Arabidopsis thaliana: one gene and its partner. The protein of the gene in region 1 interacts with the protein of each later gene in a pairwise test. Each region holds a gene or a part of one and is shown on either strand. Other genes may lie near its edges.

Region 1 (4,557 bases):
CCGATATACATTCCTGAGAGCCCACCTGCAAGCTCCAAGCCCAATCTTAAAAAGAAACTATGGGTATCCAATTTTTTTTTTTTGTGTACTTTAATCTTGAGGTAGTAGTATTTTCGAGAATACTTTAGCACGTTACAAAGTTAGCAACGAATTTTCTTTTTCTAGATATGACTTATAAGAGCCAAACCTTTTTATGTTATAGAAATCTTTGTCACTTTGAGATACTTTTATTCAGGATTTAATAAAGAGTGTTGGATAAAGCACGTGGGACCTTTTGCTCTCTCGAGATTGGCTCTTCGAGTCAGGAAAAGTTAAGACTGTGAAGCAAACCCTATATATGATACTGTATACAATATATTTTTTGGATAAAGGATTGTGTAAATTAAATGATCAAACTATATACTTACTATTCTGGCCTTAGTGGTTATAAGATACTAATATTATACTGTAAATGATCAAAACAAGATACTATTGTCAGAATGCGAAAAAATAAAGCGAAGTCCAACTTAATAGTTTACGAACTTTTACTTCATATTATGAGTCGAATGAGAGTGAATACTGGAATTGGTGATGATGCAGAAAACCGGATTAGACGAAACAAAGAGAACATAATACAAATCATTGGTATGGAACTGACAAAACGTACGAAACAATCGATGTTAAATGGTTAGAATAAAATTTGGATGATAACCATAATAACTGCAGTGCATGTATAATCATTAAATTTTAGCTATTTTTAATACTTGGAATAATAGATGTTTACTATTTTTATCATATACCTAAAGAAGTTCTTGTAATTTGTACTTAGTACCTGATTTGTCGTTCTAATCCTAAAAAAAGATTTGGTCCTTTGTAGTTTGCTTCAAAGGCCCCGAATCTGCATTGATCATGGTCTGGCTCGGGGGTGTTAAGCACACTTTTAACTAGTGATTATATGTCTAATTGGGACATCAATATACCTCCATGCACCTAGTAATGTGACCATCCGTATAATATGTGTACTATCTCTTCTTCAGCTAAAGGTTAACGAGCATAATCTGGTTAAGCCCTATGTTTGGTTTGCATTATAACAATCTCTCTGAAATTTTGTAGTATTTTCATCAATTTAAATTAGTATATTTTCGACAATTTGAATTGTTCTTTGAGTCTGATCACAGTCAAGTACACGAACTATATGCTGATCTGATCGAATTCATTCTACTATATACACACACATACACAAACATTTTACAGTACACCACTAATACTATAATCCCAATAACAAGAAAACCTAAAATATAAGTACACATTAACAAAAGAAAACAGTTTGCAAGTTATTAAGTGGTTTTTGGATTTGGTTTATAGTTTTTAGATTTTTGCATTAATTATATATATATATATATATATATATATATATATATATATATATATATATATTTGAAACTAAATATGAAAAAGTTATAGCGTTAAAAAGTGAAAAACCAATGAAACATAGATTTTAGATTTCCTTTAAAAATCTAGATTCCTTATTTTTATAAGGAAAACCATTTCTCCCAATCTTAATTGGCTATAAAGTAGATTTTTGGAAAAAACTTAAGCCATAAACAATTTCAAAAAATCTATAACCATTTCAAAATCTTTAATCCTTTTTTTTTTTTGTCAAAACAAGTCTTTTATCCAAATGAAAAAGCACCCAAGAAAAAAAAAAAAAAAACTATCCAATAATTGAGTCAGCTCTCATAGGCTTAAACAATACTTTAAGGATCAACATTAAATAATTACCACACTTGAGGGGTAAAACTAAAAACGGTAAATAAAACACAGAAAAACGACAACGAGGGGCAAAATCGAAAATAAAGAGAAAATAGTGGGATAATAGAAGAAAGCATCCAATGAGAGTAGTGAAATCAGAGAAAGACCTTTACTCCTTTAGTCCAATACCATCCAATCAATCTTTTTCTTTTTTTTTATAAAAATCTCTCACTGAGTCTTTTTATTTAAATATTATAAAAAGGAGAGAGAAAAAAAGTTTGTTGGAGGATTCGTCTCTCTCTCTCTCTCTTTCTCTTTCTCTCATCTTCTTCTTATCTCCCTCCAAAGACGGCGACTGTATAATCTATCATTTCTTCACAGTAACGCTTTCATCGGAAGATCTCGCCGGAAAAAAACTTCTCTCTGAGATCAGATCTCTTACGATTCTCAGCTCAATCTTATCTTTTCCTTTGTTGTGCTGCTTTTCACTCTCTTCTGCGCGACGAATTTGGCCTTGTTTTTTGTTTGTTTGTCGTATCCGACGCGGAGGTATTGAGAAACCGTGGCTTAAGACGGAGGAAGAAGATGGAAGCTAACGGGATTGAGAACTTGACGAATCCGAATCAGGAAAGAGAGTTTATAAGGAGACATCATAAGCATGAGCTTGTGGATAATCAGTGTAGCTCTACGCTTGTTAAACATATCAACGCTCCTGTTCATATTGTAAGCTTCTCCCTTCTTCTTCTTCCTTCATGCGCTCTGATTTTCTCTGTTTAAGTTAATCGGTTCTTCTTATTGTTGATTCAATCCAGAATTTGAAATCTCTCTCTATTTTCATCGATTGTTGATCTTACTGATGAAGAATCGATTGGTTTCTAATTATTGAAAGCTTACATAGCATTTGTGTAATCCCAATCTGAGTTTGTTTGATCTGGTTTTGCTTTATTGGAAAAAAAAGCTCCCAAAAACGCTTATGGATTAGTTTGAATCTCTCTGGTGAATAGGTGTGGTCACTTGTGAGAAGATTTGATCAGCCACAGAAGTATAAGCCGTTTATCAGTAGATGTGTGGTGAAAGGAAACATGGAGATTGGTACAGTAAGAGAAGTTGATGTGAAATCTGGACTACCAGCAACTAGAAGCACTGAGAGATTGGAGTTACTTGATGACAATGAGCATATTCTCAGTATCAGAATCGTTGGTGGTGATCATAGACTTAAGGTAATCAATGAATCAAAAGGTTCGTTTTCTGTTTACAGTGAATCAAAGACTTATATGTTCTATATTGTTTTTGGATTTAGAACTATTCTTCAATCATCTCTCTTCACCCCGAGACTATAGAAGGAAGAATAGGAACACTTGTGATTGAGTCATTTGTGGTTGATGTACCAGAAGGAAACACAAAGGATGAGACTTGTTACTTTGTTGAAGCTTTAATCAAATGCAATCTTAAATCTTTAGCTGATATCTCTGAACGTCTTGCGGTTCAAGACACGACAGAATCGAGAGTCTAAAGATCAAAGGAGTAAGAAACTATTGAATCAGAGAGATTTTGGTTGCCATGGATGAAGCTCTCAAAGGGAAAAAGAGAGAGTGGGTGAGTTTCTTTGAGGATGGACAAGGCAAAAAAAGTATCATCATTTATCCAGTTACATAATAAGTTTCTCATTTGCTATTTTTGGGGTCATTTCACTTTCAAACCCTCTTTTTAATTTCATGTGTCTAATTTAATGAATGTGTTTTTGGTTTCTTCTCTATAGAACCAAAATATGATTTTGGAGTTTAGCTTTAGCAACTTGCAGGAATCTTTTTACAATTTGCAGAGAAGACATGTTAAAAGTGTGTGTGATCATGGGGTTCCACTCTCTTCTTCCTTTTTTAACACTTTTAGTTGCACCCATAAAGGCCACACACCGTCTTTCTTATATTTATTTTTTCTACTTTTAAAGATGAACCAATAGGGTTTGTGAGATGTGAAAAATCTCCACAAAGGACCATTAAGGAAAGAGATCTTTGTTGTTGTTTATAGATTTTGTCTTGACTTGTGATTGGGGAAACACACTTTAGCTCCATTAGCTGTAAAAAGTTTTGTATACTATTTTTACAATGCCAAAGTGTTTCTGTTTCTTTTTTCCTAAATTACAGTAGTGGATAAATATTCGAATCGGTCACATTGACAGGTGGTATCATTAGAATTGCTTCTATATGTTTTCTTTCAATTTTGTTCCAAACAATACATGTAATTTCATCAGAGGACCTTGTAAGCTGCAATAAGATTCATTGGCTTTCAAAATCACATCAGAGAATAAAGACAACAATTATTACTTTCTTTTCAATGTTGTTTTACATTTTTCTTCATAGAATTGAACAGAATGTCAAAAAGGGCAAAAGGTTCAAGGTCGAAGCGAAAACTAATGAGCTAATGAAATAAAAACTACAATAATTTTGTAACATGAGATCAATAATTTCATATGTTTTTCTTTTGGTTGTTGTTGTAGAAGCTATGGGAGATTTACTCTGTACAAAGCTTTGAATCTCCCTTTTTCACCCAAAGAAGTGTGTTTATGGTAATGAATGATGTGATTAGGCCAATACCAAGTCTCCTTCTTCTTGTTGTTGCTCTTCAAATTTCTCGCCTTCCTGCTTTGGAAGGAGAATACGCTTTATGTCCTCTGCGGTTAGCGTTTCATACTCTAGAAGTGCGTTTGCTAACGTGTGTAGCTGCTTCTCATGCTGGGGAAACACACACACACACACACACACACACACACACAAAATCGAAGTGAGATTAAACAATTTTGATCCAGTAAAAAATGCGACTATCTGT
Region 2 (3,601 bases), 460 kb from region 1:
TCTACAAACTCAAACATTCAACAACTAGTCGTCTAGTTAAAATCTACGGTCCGAAAGTTAATTTCAATCGAGGACCAGCGGTTGCGTTCAATCTATTCAACCATAAAGGCGAAAAAATCGAACCTTTTATCGTGCAGAAGTTAGCCGAATGCAGCAACATCTCACTCGGTAAAAGTTTCTTGAAGAACATCTTGTTCCAAGAAGACTACGAAGGCGTGAAAGATAGAGTTTTTGAGAAGAAAAGAAACAGAGACGTCGACGAACCAAGGATCTCTGTTCTCACTGCTGCGTTAGGGTTTCTTGCTAATTTCGAAGATGTTTATAAACTTTGGATATTCGTTGCTCGGTTTTTGGATTCAGAGTTTGTTGATAAAGAGAGTGTGAGATGTGGAGTTCATGTTTTTGAACATAAGAACCGTGAAGTAGTCTAGTTAACATATAGCCTAGTTTTGGCTCGGTTTGCTTTGGTTCACTTCTTACATCAGAACCGGTTCAAGTATCAATGAAAATTTTGATTTTTGTTCAGTACAAAGTCAGCGTCAACATTAGCGTCCAAGTAGCACCTCTATCTCCCACTAATTTTGATTTTGCTACTGATTCAAAAAAAAATAATTAACTTTCGAAAAAAGGTAGCTCATATATATTTATTTACAATTCGCTCATTCCTAGATGTCAAGTAGATATGAACGGGGCAAATGAATGCCCAATAACTAAAATAAACCCATATCAGCTATATATTTCTTCGGTTGTTAAAAATTTTGATTTTATAAAATTTATTGCACAAATGATTTTCTAGATGTTATTTTTATTTTTATTTTTAGTATGATAAATACTAAATTTCAAAATGCAATGATTGAAAATAATTAAACTTTTAATTTTATTAGCTCATAATTAAACTTAAAAATATTTAATATAAAAAATGTTAATGATTAGATAATGTTTTTTTTTTAATATGTGAAAAAATCCCAAACATCAATCTATTATAAAAATATGGAATAATACTTTTATTTAATCTATTTTTTTAGTAGTCAACATCAAAAGATTATTACAAATGACCAATGTTGATAATTTTAACTTATAAATATAGTATTAAATAATGAATAGTGAATTGTTTTCTTTTTGGCGGGTGAAACCTTATTTCCAAGCTTCATACTCTAGTCTTCGAGAGTCATGCTTAGTAATTGACATTTTTTGTTGCCATCATTTCTTATAAAGCTTACCCTAAGCTTGCAAGAATATTTACCGAGTAGTTTGGAATCTTGGTGTTGTAAATCATGCACTATTTGTTTTACTACGCAGTTCCAATCTTCTCGTGGGGACCAAAGTTTTTCAACCTTGTATACAACAAAATCAACAAGGGATTAGGTACACCAAATTGGTTTTTACGAAAACAGTAACATGCTATCAAAATAGAGACTAGTCGTTTTGGTGATAGAATTCAGACCAAGACAATAATGGTTTTACTTGTCAATAATACTCAGAAATGAACATAAGCTGCACTTGTCAATAGTACTCAGTTTTGAGATAGCTAAGTTTTGTATTGCCCTAGTTATGGCTCGGTTTTGTCCAATTCGGTTGGTTTGGTTCACTTCTTAAATGGAAACCGGTTCAACTGTACAACTATCAATAAAAAAAAAAAAATTAGCTCCACAACATGACTCTTGTGATGTGGTCGAGGCCAAGGCCCATTAGTTAGCTAAAACAGGCCCATATGAAGTATGTGATCTAGACCGTTGATTTGTAATGGGACTATATAAAAATAAAAACGATGATCTTGAGGGCCCCTTCTTCCATCTTTGTAGGGTTCTTCGTGCAGAGGATAAGGTTAGCTGTGGTTTTTTAATTTTATTTTTCTACCTTTGTAGGGTTTCCTCACTTTTTTTTATCCACTGTTCTTTAGTTTTCAATCTGTCAAATTCAAACAGATAACATTTTTCGTCAAAAGAATCAGTAAAAACTAAACATTTTGACTATATCCTACTTGAATCAATTCTTCGGCTGATTTTGAAGTTTTGTGACATTCAGATATTCTAGGGTTTTGTGGTAAATGGAATCGAATCACGAAGGCAACGCGATACAAGTGATTGACCAAGTAACAACCATGACCCATCTGTCTGACCCGAATCCGAAAACCAAACCGGGTATGATGCTCATGAAACAAGAAGACGGGTATTTGCAGCCGGTGAAGACTAAACCGGCTCCGAAGAGACCGACTTCTAAAGACCGTCACACGAAAGTAGAAGGACGAGGTCGGAGGATCCGAATGCCGGCGGGTTGCGCTGCTCGGGTCTTTCAATTGACCCGTGAACTTGGTCACAAATCCGACGGAGAAACGATACGGTGGTTATTGGAACGAGCTGAACCGGCGATAATTGAAGCAACCGGAACCGGAACTGTACCGGCTATTGCTGTATCGGTTAACGGAACTTTAAAAATCCCGACGAGCTCTCCAGTGTTGAATGACGGCGGCCGTGACGGTGACGGTGACCTAATAAAGAAACGGAGGAAGAGAAACTGTACGAGCGATTTCGTAGACGTTAATGACAGCTGTCATAGCTCCGTTACTTCTGGGTTAGCTCCGATAACGGCGTCAAACTACGGCGTTAATATCCTGAACGTTAATACACAGGGGTTTGTGCCGTTTTGGCCTATGGGTATGGGTACTGCGTTTGTTACTGGTGGGCCGGATCAAATGGGCCAAATGTGGGCTATTCCTACCGTTGCTACAGCTCCGTTTCTGAATGTTGGTGCTAGACCGGTGTCTAGTTATGTCTCAAACGCTTCAGACGCTGAGGCGGAGATGGAAACGAGCGGTGGCGGAACGACGCAACCGCTGAGGGATTTTTCGTTGGAGATTTATGATAAGAGAGAGCTTCAGTTTTTGGGTGGCTCAGGGAACTCATCTCCGTCTTCATGTCATGAGACTTAAGGAATTTTAACTCTTAGTTCTAGTTTCTTTTTAGTTTTTAGTAAGTTTGATTCCTGATTTAGGTTAAGTAAGATTTGTAAAAGAATTGGGAGCACAATTTCAATTTTATGTTTCTGTCAAACATTTTGGTAATTAATGGAACTATCCTATCATTTTTAAAAAATAAATCAAAATGAGATTAAAAATGAGTCTGCTAAAACGCCAGAGGTTGAGTCTGCTAAAGCTCTCGACACAATAGTAGAAGGAATAATGTATAGGCACGTTAAACCTAGATTCTCGTGGAAGCTACAAAGCTGGATCGGAGTTGGGATGGAGAAGAAGATGATAGAAGCTGGTGCCATTTTTGATCGAGTGTGTGGGAAATACATATCAGCCAGGAGAGAAGAGGTAAAAAGATCACAAGTGAATAATAATGATCATTTCATTAGAGATAGTCATGCAAATCTTTTGACATCTCACATAAAGCTTGATACAACCCAGTACCAGCTCTTGGATCCTATCAATGATAAATTCTTAAGAGACAATGTCTTTGCTTTACTTCTAGCTGGGAGAGATACCACTGCCTCTGCTCTCACTTGGTTCTTTTGGTTTTTGTCCGAAAACCCTCTAGTGGTGACCAAGATTCGCCAAGAGATTGACATGAATCTACCAAGAAGTTGTAGTGGCCAAGAG

The links.
Region 2: the proteins of RCAR3 (region 1) and AT5G51910 interact in binary tests that used the Arabidopsis thaliana proteins (3 or more experiments, as listed by UniProt).

What each region holds. Positions count from the first base shown.
Region 1 is NC_003076.8:21,558,710-21,563,266, forward strand, and holds RCAR3 (regulatory components of ABA receptor 3), read left to right. Parts: upstream 1-1,891; 5' UTR 1,892-2,316; coding exon 2,317-2,454; intron 2,455-2,735; coding exon 2,736-2,951; coding exon of another isoform or gene 2,952-3,031; coding exon 3,032-3,244; 3' UTR 3,245-4,000; downstream 4,001-4,557. Other genes in the region: FTSH11 (FTSH protease 11), read right to left, coding at 4,314-4,463. UniProt on the Arabidopsis thaliana protein: Receptor for abscisic acid (ABA) required for ABA-mediated responses such as stomatal closure and germination inhibition.
Region 2 is NC_003076.8:21,094,032-21,097,632, reverse strand, and holds AT5G51910 (TCP family transcription factor), read left to right. Parts: upstream 1-1,741; 5' UTR 1,742-1,824; intron 1,825-1,930; exon of another isoform or gene 1,931-2,025; 5' UTR 2,026-2,047; coding exon 2,048-2,929; 3' UTR 2,930-3,067; downstream 3,068-3,601. Other genes in the region: AT5G51920 (Pyridoxal phosphate (PLP)-dependent transferases superfamily protein), read left to right, coding at 1-431; AT5G51900 (Cytochrome P450 family protein), read left to right, coding at 3,179-3,601.